Cricetulus griseus: one gene and its partner. Each later gene encodes a partner of the first gene's protein in a complex. Links are inferred from orthologs where the notes say so. Each region holds a gene or a part of one and is shown in the gene's direction. Other genes may lie near its edges.

What was found.
Region 2: Pigq (region 1) and Pigc share a complex: the UniProt entries of both Homo sapiens proteins name them as parts of the glycosylphosphatidylinositol-N-acetylglucosaminyltransferase (GPI-GnT) complex. The link is inferred for Cricetulus griseus from reciprocal best matches to the Homo sapiens genes PIGQ and PIGC.

What each region holds. Positions count from the first base shown.
Region 1 is NC_048600.1:45,551,005-45,555,682, reverse strand, and holds part of Pigq (phosphatidylinositol N-acetylglucosaminyltransferase subunit Q), read left to right. Parts: intron 1-1,829; coding exon 1,830-1,956; intron 1,957-2,199; coding exon 2,200-2,353; intron 2,354-2,468; coding exon 2,469-2,580; intron 2,581-3,004; coding exon 3,005-3,085; intron 3,086-3,573; exon of another isoform or gene 3,574-3,610; coding exon 3,611-3,725; intron 3,726-4,678. UniProt on the Homo sapiens protein: Part of the glycosylphosphatidylinositol-N-acetylglucosaminyltransferase (GPI-GnT) complex that catalyzes the transfer of N-acetylglucosamine from UDP-N-acetylglucosamine to phosphatidylinositol and participates in the first step of GPI biosynthesis.
Region 2 is NC_048598.1:30,145,784-30,150,956, reverse strand, and holds Pigc (phosphatidylinositol N-acetylglucosaminyltransferase subunit C), read left to right. Parts: upstream 1-1,731; intron 1,732-2,174; coding exon of another isoform or gene 2,175-2,204; intron 2,205-2,319; coding exon of another isoform or gene 2,320-2,391; intron 2,392-2,552; 5' UTR 2,553-2,765; coding exon 2,766-3,659; 3' UTR 3,660-3,930; downstream 3,931-5,173. Other genes in the region: CUNH1orf105 (uncharacterized protein C1orf105 homolog), read right to left, coding at 207-292, 1,324-1,731, 2,175-2,204, 2,320-2,391. UniProt on the Homo sapiens protein: Part of the glycosylphosphatidylinositol-N-acetylglucosaminyltransferase (GPI-GnT) complex that catalyzes the transfer of N-acetylglucosamine from UDP-N-acetylglucosamine to phosphatidylinositol and participates in the first step of GPI biosynthesis.

The sequences.
Region 1 (4,678 bases):
AAAGTCAACCTTAGGACACCTCGGTGCTCTGGGCTGTTGTTGGGCTGGCCAGACACTACTCCCAGATTGCTCTTATCCTGAGAACAAGAGGCACAGGCCTGTCCTCTGTGCTCCCAGTGTTCCCCTGCATGGTGTGTGCAGCATATCATGCTGGTCCCTTCCTGCTCTTCTGGCCTCCTCCACCTCCTCATTTCCACCCAGCCTCAGAACTTTTCAGTTCTGCATCTCATTTTCAGTAGAGCCAAAGCCCTGTCTCTCTTGTGGAAGCCTTGAAGGTCTCCCATCAGTGCAGGCGTATGTCAGGTCTGCTTGTTTCCAGGCTGGGAACCTGGGAGCAGCAGTGGGTTCCTCTCGGCTACCTGAAATGTAAGCTATATGGAGGGCATCCCAGTAGGAAAGTGGTTGGGTAGAAGGGGTTAGGCTGTTTCTATATTCTGTTTCTTGGCCAGCTTTGTCTGAATTCTTTTTTGCAAAATTACTATATATATATATATATAAATATTTAATTAAAAAGTGGAGTCTCTTTCCGCTGCCAGGCTTTTATCCTTTAAATATTAAATAAGCCCTATTTATAAAGAAGGTTTTGCTGTCTTCCCTGGTGGTCCTAAGGCTCTTGCACAGGGTTGCGAGAGGCTTTGGAAAGAGCATATAGGGATACAGGAGTTACTCCTGTGGCAGCCAGGTCCAGTTTTCCTGCTTACTGTTGAAGTCCCTGTGCTCAATTAATTTTGTCTTTTCTCTGAGTGCCCTTGCTCTCCAGTGCTCCAACCTGCTTCCTTAGTCCCTGGTTGGTTTGACACCCTCTCATTCACCCAAGGTGGCTATCGATTGCTGGGTGGCCTTAACCTCTGGTAGCAAGTGGCAAGGAGAGAGGTCTTGACCAAGAGCTTCAGTATTCTCAAGTTCCCCTGCGTTGTTTGAATTGAGCCAGGGTCAATCCAACCTCAGCCATACCTAGGTATCGTGGGTTTAAGGCCTTATGGTTCCAGGACTGAAATGGCAAGATAGTGAGCATGAAGGAAGTTCTCAAGTTGAGGTAGATATCCCGTGGGGACACATGCCCAAGGAACTGGTTTATGTTGGAAGATGCTTCAGAGCAGGATCTTAGAAATAAATGATCTGGGGCTGGAGAGATGGCTCAGAGGTTAAGAGCACTGGACTGCTCTTCCAGAAGTCCTGAGTTCAATTCCCAGCAACTGCATGGTGGCTCACAACCATCTTTCATAAGATCTGGTGCCCACTTCTGGTGTGCAGGCAAATATGCCGACAGAACACTATATATGTAGTAAAAATAAATAAATTTAAAAAAAAGAAAAGAAAAAAAACATGTAATGTAGGTTGTTTAAAAATAAAGTGCATTTAAATTTAAAGAAAGAAAGAAAGAAAGAAAGAAAGAAAGAAAGAAAGAAAGAAAAAGAAAGAAAGAGAAGAAAGAAAGAAAGAAATCATCTGTGACCAGGGGTCAGGGGTCCAGTGGCCAGGCGAATTTGGGAAACATTGCTTCTATGCAATGTTAGCCGACAATGATTTGCTGGGCATGGTGGTGCACACCTTTAACCCAGCACTGGGGAGGCAGAGGCAGGCAGATCTCTGTGAGTCTGAGACCAGTGTGGTCTACAGAGTGAGTTCTAGGACAGCTGGGACTACATAGTGAGACCTTGCCTCCCCCCACAAAAAAAAGGACAATGATTTGAACCTTGGAAGAAGTGGCTGCCCTTACCCAGCCCAGATAGACTGGCTATAGTGGGAGCCCATTATGGATAATTTTCCACCCACCCACTTACCTCAGTGTGACCATGTCATCCCTTCCCTGCCCCATGTCTCTGTAGCGCGTGGCTGAGGAGCTCCAGCATCTGCTGCAGTGGCTGATGGGTGCTCCTGCTGGGCTCAAGATGAATCGGGCACTGGATCAGGTGCTAGGCCGCTTTTTCCTGTACCACATCCATCTGTGGATCAGTGAGTGCCTGATGGGCAGGGTTGAGCAGCCCAGTAGGGCTGATAGAGGAGAACAGGAACCCTAGCCAGTCCCCATCCCCTCTGCCTCCATTTTCTAGCCTCCCATTTATATGAAGCAATTGTGTCGGGCCAGTGGCTGGGTCTGTACTCACTGGTGTCCTGAAGTGTTAGGTGCCCATTCTCAGGAACTGGGGCTCACTGTGCCTCGCTGGGCACTACTCATAGCTGAACTCCATCCTGCAGGCTATATCCACCTTATGTCCCCCTTTATTGAGCACATCCTGTGGCATGTGGGCCTCTCAGCCTGCCTAGGACTGACTGTTGCCCTGTCCATCCTTTCCGACATCATCGCCCTCCTTACCTTCCACATCTACTGCTTCTATGTCTATGGTGCCAGGTACGTATTTACCCAAGTGTAGTGTTCTAAGCCATGGGCACACAGCAGGGTCTGAGCAGATGGGTGAGGCGTGGCACAGGCTCCCAGCTGGCCCTCATGAGCCTGTGTCCTACAGGCTGTACTGCCTGAAGATCTATGGCCTCTCCTCGCTCTGGCGTCTGTTCCGGGGGAAGAAGTGGAATGTTCTGCGCCAGCGGGTGGATTCCTGTTCCTATGATCTTGACCAGGTACCTACAGCTTTGAGCCTGCTGACCTTGTCAGGGCAACTCCTTGGACACTACCAGTGACCAGCCTACTGTAACTATCCTCTGACAGTTGGCCTGGGGGGAGGTGCCAGCAGACCTACACATACTTTGCTCAGGTGGGCATAAGGCCTGATTTGGCTTATTCCATTTGCTCACCCAGACCTGATATGCACTTTTTCCTAACCTCATATTTGCCTGTATACCCTGCTGGTTATATCCCCACAAGCCACCAGGTCCACAAGGTATGTGGACACATCCCTCATGGTAAAGGGATCATGCTGACCCTTGCTAGCACAGGAGGCCAAAAAATCCCAACAGCAGTTTAACGATGGGTGTGTGTGGAGAGTGATGGAGTGGCCTCCCCTGGTTTTGGTCTTATAATACCAAGTGTGCTTGTTCCCCACAGCTGTTCATTGGGACCTTGCTCTTTACCATCCTGGTCTTCTTGCTGCCTACCACCGCTCTGTACTACCTGGTATTTACCCTGGTGAGTCCAGTACCTCCTGTTCTGGGACCTACAAAACTTGGACTGGTCACTGCCTGAGCCAGTCACATGGGGAACGGGCCATCTATCTCTTCGGGTCACATCACTGTGGCTGTTCTGAACTCTCTGGGAACTATATGCTGGTCTTAAAGCAGTTGGGGGGTCCTGCCCTGGACTGGGCTGGTTACAGAGGAGGTCAGGCCCCATAGTGGGTGGATAGAATCGTAGAGGAACAACACCAGGCTGGACAGTATGAGATAAGTGATCCCCAGATGGCTCAGGCCCTCTGGGTTTGACCTGTAAGTGTTGGGAATGTTAATACACAGTTTCTGACTAGGAAAGAGTGCCAGCTGCTCTGCTGCCAGCTCTTTAGTCTCTTTAGGGTGGAGTCTATGTTTTCCTTAGGGTTCCTGAGCCTCTGGTCACCCTTAGTGAGTATAGCTCAAGAGCCTATTGGGCTGCTCTCCTCTTAGTCTGATGTGTGGCTTCAGCCCCAGTCAGTGGCCCTGAATGTGACCTTTGCGACAGCTCCGGCTCCTGGTGATCACTGTGCAGGGCCTAATCCATCTTCTTGTGGACCTCATCAACTCCCTGCCGCTATACTCCCTTGGCCTTCGACTCTGCCGACCCTATAGGCTGGCTGGTAAGTGTTGGGTTCAGGGTGGCTGGCTTCTAACAGATGGTACAACATACCCATAGGCCTTGCAAAAGCACCTGTGCCAACCTCATGTGTCTCCTGCCTGAAAGAATTGGTGGATGTGGCATGGGTGAGCAGAACACAGTAGAGTAGAAGATAGACTTGGCCCCGGGAACATGCTGTCTGCTCTGTCTCCCTGAGAGTATATTTCAGAGACATAAAGACCTGAGGCCTCATCCTTCCTGTAATATGTGAGTCTTGCTGCAGGGTCTGTGCAGGGTATGGCTCAGAGCAGTCTATCTCAATGAGGTTATAGGCTATATGTCTGCATTTTTGATGGCCCTCACCCTTGGAAGCAGGACAGAATGAGGGCTGCTAGACTGTGCCAGGCTCATCCTGCACTGCCTATAATCATCATCTAAGCTGTTCCCCTGAATCTCTGGAATCCCCTGATTCCAGAGTCCTTGAGGGAAATCTACGTCTTTTAGACATGATGTTGTTTGTCTCTGGGGTTTTGGATACAGCAGGGGCCTCAGGATTACCTGATATAGCCAATGTTCACCTCTAGTTCAGGTGATTTCTAAGGTGACCAGTATGCCCATTTGACTTCCAGCTAGCTCAGAGCCATTTGATAGGGATGTGCAGATTCCTTGGCTTTGAATCAATATCTAGGTCTGCCTGCAGGCATCGCAGTGCTACTGAATGCCTATAAAACATTTTGAGAACATCCTTCTAGCTAATTTCTCCATTAACTTCAGGAGGCCCAGGCCAAAGACTCATTTACAATGTTGCACACATACCCTCTGCCTCCACTTCTTCACCTCAGACACAAAGACAGGAGGGCCACAGTAGACCCAGATACAGCCTGGGATTCAGGGCCTCTTCCTCCCTAGCCTGGAGCCAATAGCTTGTCCAGGTCACTTTAACTTTGCCTAGCAGTCCACAGTTCTGTCCCTTCT
Region 2 (5,173 bases), on another chromosome or scaffold:
TCTAGGGTTGGATAGTGGAGGCAGAAAGGAATGTTATGCGGGCCTCATCTCCTCTGGCAAGGCCTTCATGCAGCATAACCTTTGTCTGAGAATGCCAGGGCATTTCTGAGTTTTGTGCACTTGACCAGGTTTTTCCACCCACCACACCCACCTCTCCCCCTTGAGATCTCTCTCAAACGCTTTGTCCTCAGAAGCTGGGGGATTACCTTCCAGGGAGGCTGAGTACCAAGGGCTTGTTTACCAGGCTGGCCTCACTAAGCCAAGGAACCTTGTCAAATTTTGGAACAAAAGCCTAAAGAGAAAGGGAAAGAGATAGTTTTGCATAAGTTATCACACTTATGAAAAATGAAAATAAATGTTAAAATGGGTCACAGGACTGGAGAGATGGCTCAGTGTTAAAAGCACTTTCTTCTCTTTGAGAAAATCCAGGTTCAGTTGATAACACGCACTATCCATTCACAGCTACCTGTTAACTATAGTTGCAGGGGACTTAGCACCCCCTCTTATGGCCCCCACAGGTACCTGCTTTCAGGAGCACATACTTACATATGGACACATGTGTAGATAAAATTTAAAATGAAACATTAAAACAGAGTTAAACACTTGACTAGTGCTAGTTCTGTGATAACCAAAGTAAGTTATTAGCTATCACATAGCAATCACCTCTACAAAAATTTGTACATGTGAGTCTTTCAACCGTCCCATAAAGTGGCCAAGAACAAATACGTGCCTCCTCTGGTTTTTAAACGAAGAGTTCAAAGTGACGACAGTGTAAGTTCTTCTAAGCGACACTGCTAATAAATGGGTTCATGCTTTCTGACTTTTGTGTCCACTATATCCCATATTCTACATATTTTCAGTTCTTTGTACTTAACGTCTATTTCTAAATTCTGTAATATTTCCATGAGCTCAGCTGAAAACCAGCCATCTCTTGTCCCAATCCTCTAGCCATGTTTTCAGACCCAAGGGCCTCCACCCTCCTCACTCTCTTTGGGTGGCAAACTCTGGGAAAGAATCGAGTTGTAGAGCCATCCACATTTGGACATTTGATCTAGTTGCAATCAGTATACAGCTGCCTGACTTTGGACAAATATAAACTTGTGATCACATCGTCTCTGTGGAAGCCAATGCCCAGAAAGCGCCATGAGATCTATACAGTTGTTTTTGTTTCCTCTGTGTAGTTAATGCAGCACTAGAAGCCTGGGTTGGCACCTCTGAAGGCTGGAACGCAAGAGAAGTCCCTTAGCTGAGGGCCTGACAATAACATAAGCTCAACATCTGCAGCTGCTACCACTCTTCCACCAGCTCAGAATCTATTCCTGCCTTCTCCTCCCTTTGAACCCTGGAGGAGCTTCCTTTTCTTCCAGGAGCAGAGATCGCACTTTGAGCCGATCTCCGGGAGAGAAGCAGCCAGTAGAGGGCAGCAGCGACCTCGCGGTGTGCTGTCTCCGTGAGCGCCGCTTTGGCGGCGGAGTGGTGCAGAGCCGGAAGTGCTCCTTCACAGCGGTACCCTCCAACCCCGCGCCCCGGATGTAGAAATCGCTGGGCGGCTGCCCTTCTCAGTCGTGCACCCCTAAGAGCTCGGTGCAGGTGGGTTCCGGCATCCTTCCTGTCTGGCTGGTACCGCTGAGCTAAGGCTGGGTGGGAGACAGGCGGCGGCGGCGGGCGGGGCAGGCCGGCTGGGTGAGTGACAGCACAAGACCGGACCCTTCCCTGTCCGCTGACGCGGACCTTTCAAATCCAGAGGTCCCTGTGCGTGAGGGTAGACTCTAGGGTGTCTGCCAGCCTATCCTGGCCTCCGTAGAATAAAGAAAGGTCCAGCGGGGAGTTTTTTTCCTCCTCAGTTTTACTTAATGACCTTCGTGTTTCTGACTCTGAGTTTTCCCTTCTGAAAATGGAATGGTTATCTATCCCGCACTGGAGTTTTGCTGTTTCATTTAATTAGAATGATAAATCACTGTAGAGGGTGGTAAGCTTAGTTAATGAACAAAGAAGGCTTGAGTTCTTGGTTTGGGCTAAAACTGTAGCTATCACGCCCTTCTGTATTGTGCAGATTATTGTTGTCATGAGATCTAGAACTTAATTCGATGCCTTTGGGAACCTTGTAACAGCTATGGATTGTGTTCCTATATTTGCGTATGTTGCAAATACAAACATGCAAAAATAGTACATACCTTAGGTGTGAGAACGCCAAAGTTGACTGGCTTTAAGGAAGATAATGAGAAGCACAAACTTTGATACTAGATTTTGTTGGAGTTCTGGCTCCATTGTTACCCTGGGACATAAATACCCAACCAGTGTGAAACTCAATTGTCTTACTAGGTAAAGTGGGACAGGTACTAACTTGTAATGTTGTGTAAGATATTTAGCATTCTGAGTCAGTGATGTCATGCAGATATGAATTGTTAATATTATATTTTAAATGTCTCAAATTATGTCACTTCGCACAATTGATTTAGGCTTTCATTAAACTGAGTTGTTTTGTATTATAACATAGTCCTACCATGACCTTTTCGAGCTTTCATATATTCACAGATCTCTCTTTTTCTAAGAATTTAGCTGTGTTGTCCTGCCTCACAGAACACCTCATCTGCTGCAGGCCTAGCTAGCCTGGGTTGCAGCCTTTGTAAACAAGGAAACATCTGGAAGGTATCAACATGGCATTTCCATAGAGGTCCTAATTTGTAACTGTATCAAGAAGGAGAATTGTGTGGACTTCTCTGAGGGAGATCCGACCAGCCTGGATTTAAGGGAAGGATGAGATAATGTGTGCTCAACACCTAACGGACACCACAGAAGTCAAGTGGCAGAAGGTTTTATATGAACGGCAGCCCTTCCCCGATAATTATGTTGATCAAAGATTCCTGGAAGAACTCCGGAAAAACATCTATGCCCGGAAATACCAATACTGGGCTGTGGTATTTGAGTCCAGTGTGGTGGTGCAGCAGCTCTGTAGTGTCTGTGTTTTTGTAGTGATCTGGTGGTACATGGATGAGGGTCTTCTGGCCCCCCAGTGGCTTTTTGGGACTGGACTGGCATCTTCATTGATTGGGTATGTTTTATTTGATCTCATCGATGGAGGTGATGGACGGAAGAAGAGTGGGCGGACCCGATGGGCTGACCTGAAGAGTACTCTGGTCTTCATTACATTCACTTATGGTTTTTCACCAGTGCTAAAGACCCTGACAGAGTCTGTCAGTACTGACACCATCTACGCCATGTCAGTTTTTATGCTGTTAGGCCATCTCATCTTCTTTGATTATGGTGCCAATGCCGCAATTGTATCCAGCACACTGTCCTTGAACATGGCCATCTTTGCTTCTGTTTGCCTGGCCTCTCGTCTCCCCCGGTCACTGCATGCCTTCATTATGGTGACATTTGCCATCCAGATTTTTGCACTGTGGCCCATGTTACAGAAGAAACTGAAGGCATATACCCCCCGAAGTTATGTAGGGGTCACTCTGCTTTTTGCATTTTCAGCTTTTGGGGGTCTTTTGTCCATTAGTGGTGTGGGAGCCATACTCTTTGCCCTTCTGCTGATTTCCATTTCGTGTCTCTGCCCTTACTACCTCATTCGTCTGCAGCTTTTTAAGGAAAATATTCATGGGCCTTGGGATGAAGCTGAAATTAAAGAAGACTTGTCTAGGTTCCTTAGCTAAACTAGGGACCTTCATTCCATTATTACAGCAAGCCAAAAGACCTCGAACCTAACCAGTATAACACTTAAGGGCAGCGGGCTGATCTGGATGGTAGAACAGAGAGCAGAAGGAAACGTTTAACCAAGGGCTTAGGGGAAGATGTTTGTCCTTCAGTTATTTTATGACTGAAAAAGCTTTCTGGTGCTGTCTTGAATTATTGTCCCTCTTTATTCCTTGTAACAAATTATATAATGTGGGCTCTGCTTATTAAAAAAAAGTAATACCCATTGAATTGTCTCATATTTTAAAAACATACCCTTTTTATATGCATGAGAGGGGGGGAGAGAGAGAGGAGAGAGAGAGAGAGTTGGTTCTCTTTCCAGTATGCATGTCCCAGGCATTCAATCCATGCCTTGGGAACAATGCCTTTACCAGCTAAGCCACCATACTGGCCCTGTCTCATAGTTTTTCTGACAAAAGTGGTATGAGGAGTAGTAGGTGTGTGTAATCAGTTGTCTAGCCTTTTCTGTGTACTGAGGGACACCTCTATATATTTAGAGCCCAAATTTGAGAATTCAAGAAAGTAGTATCCAGCTTGTTGTCCAATACCACAGAACCATTTTAGTTTTTAGTGGATTGTATGTATAGCCAATAGAGGAGAGTTATTCGTCATAGAAAGAAAATGTTAGAGACAGTGAAAGACGCTGGAGAGAGTGAGTTTATCTGAAGCAATTAGGCTAGTGGATGTGGCAATTAGGCAACAAGAGGTGACATTTACTCTCGGAGGACAGCTGGCAAGAGAGCCCTTGAGAGCCAGATAAGTGATGTTAGCCAGTGAGGGCAGTTGCTACTGTCGAAAAAACGATTGTTTCTGCTCAGTTTGGGCTTCATACCTGCAGAATTTCCAAGAAAAATGAATATTACAGTAGCTGTGAATCTGATCTGTAATATGAAATATGCTTTGTAAGCTGTGTCAAATTTAATCCAGGTTACAAGAACATTTGCAGGCAAAACGTGACTACATTTGATGCCACATCCACTAGCCAAGGCGCAAAGATGGGGCCAGGATAGAGATTTAGAGTTACGAGATCTGGGGGAGGAAAGAAAGTCAGTGGAGCCTGAGTAAAGGTTCAGCTCTATTGATACAGTCCCATGGGCTCCGTATCCCGTGGTGGGCAATCCATCTTGTCTAAAGATGGGCTAAATTGAAGTCTTGAGTCAGCTAATTGTTCAGTTCTCAGTTTGCATCTTTAAGAATTGTGGCAATTAGATAAGCTGTGTGTGAAGTGTCTTGAAGAATGCCTAAGGATGCACAGTATTAGTGCCGAATATCTCAAATGCAGAATTCTGAAACCGAAAATGCTCCCAAATCTGAAAGGTTTTGAACATCAGTGTTACGCCTTGTGGAAATTCCACATTCTATACATTCTACATTCTACACGAAACCTTCATGTTTAAAATTATTTAAGAAATATAAAATTGCCTTCATACTGTGAATAAGGTGTATATAAAACAAGTGAATTTTGTATTTGAAT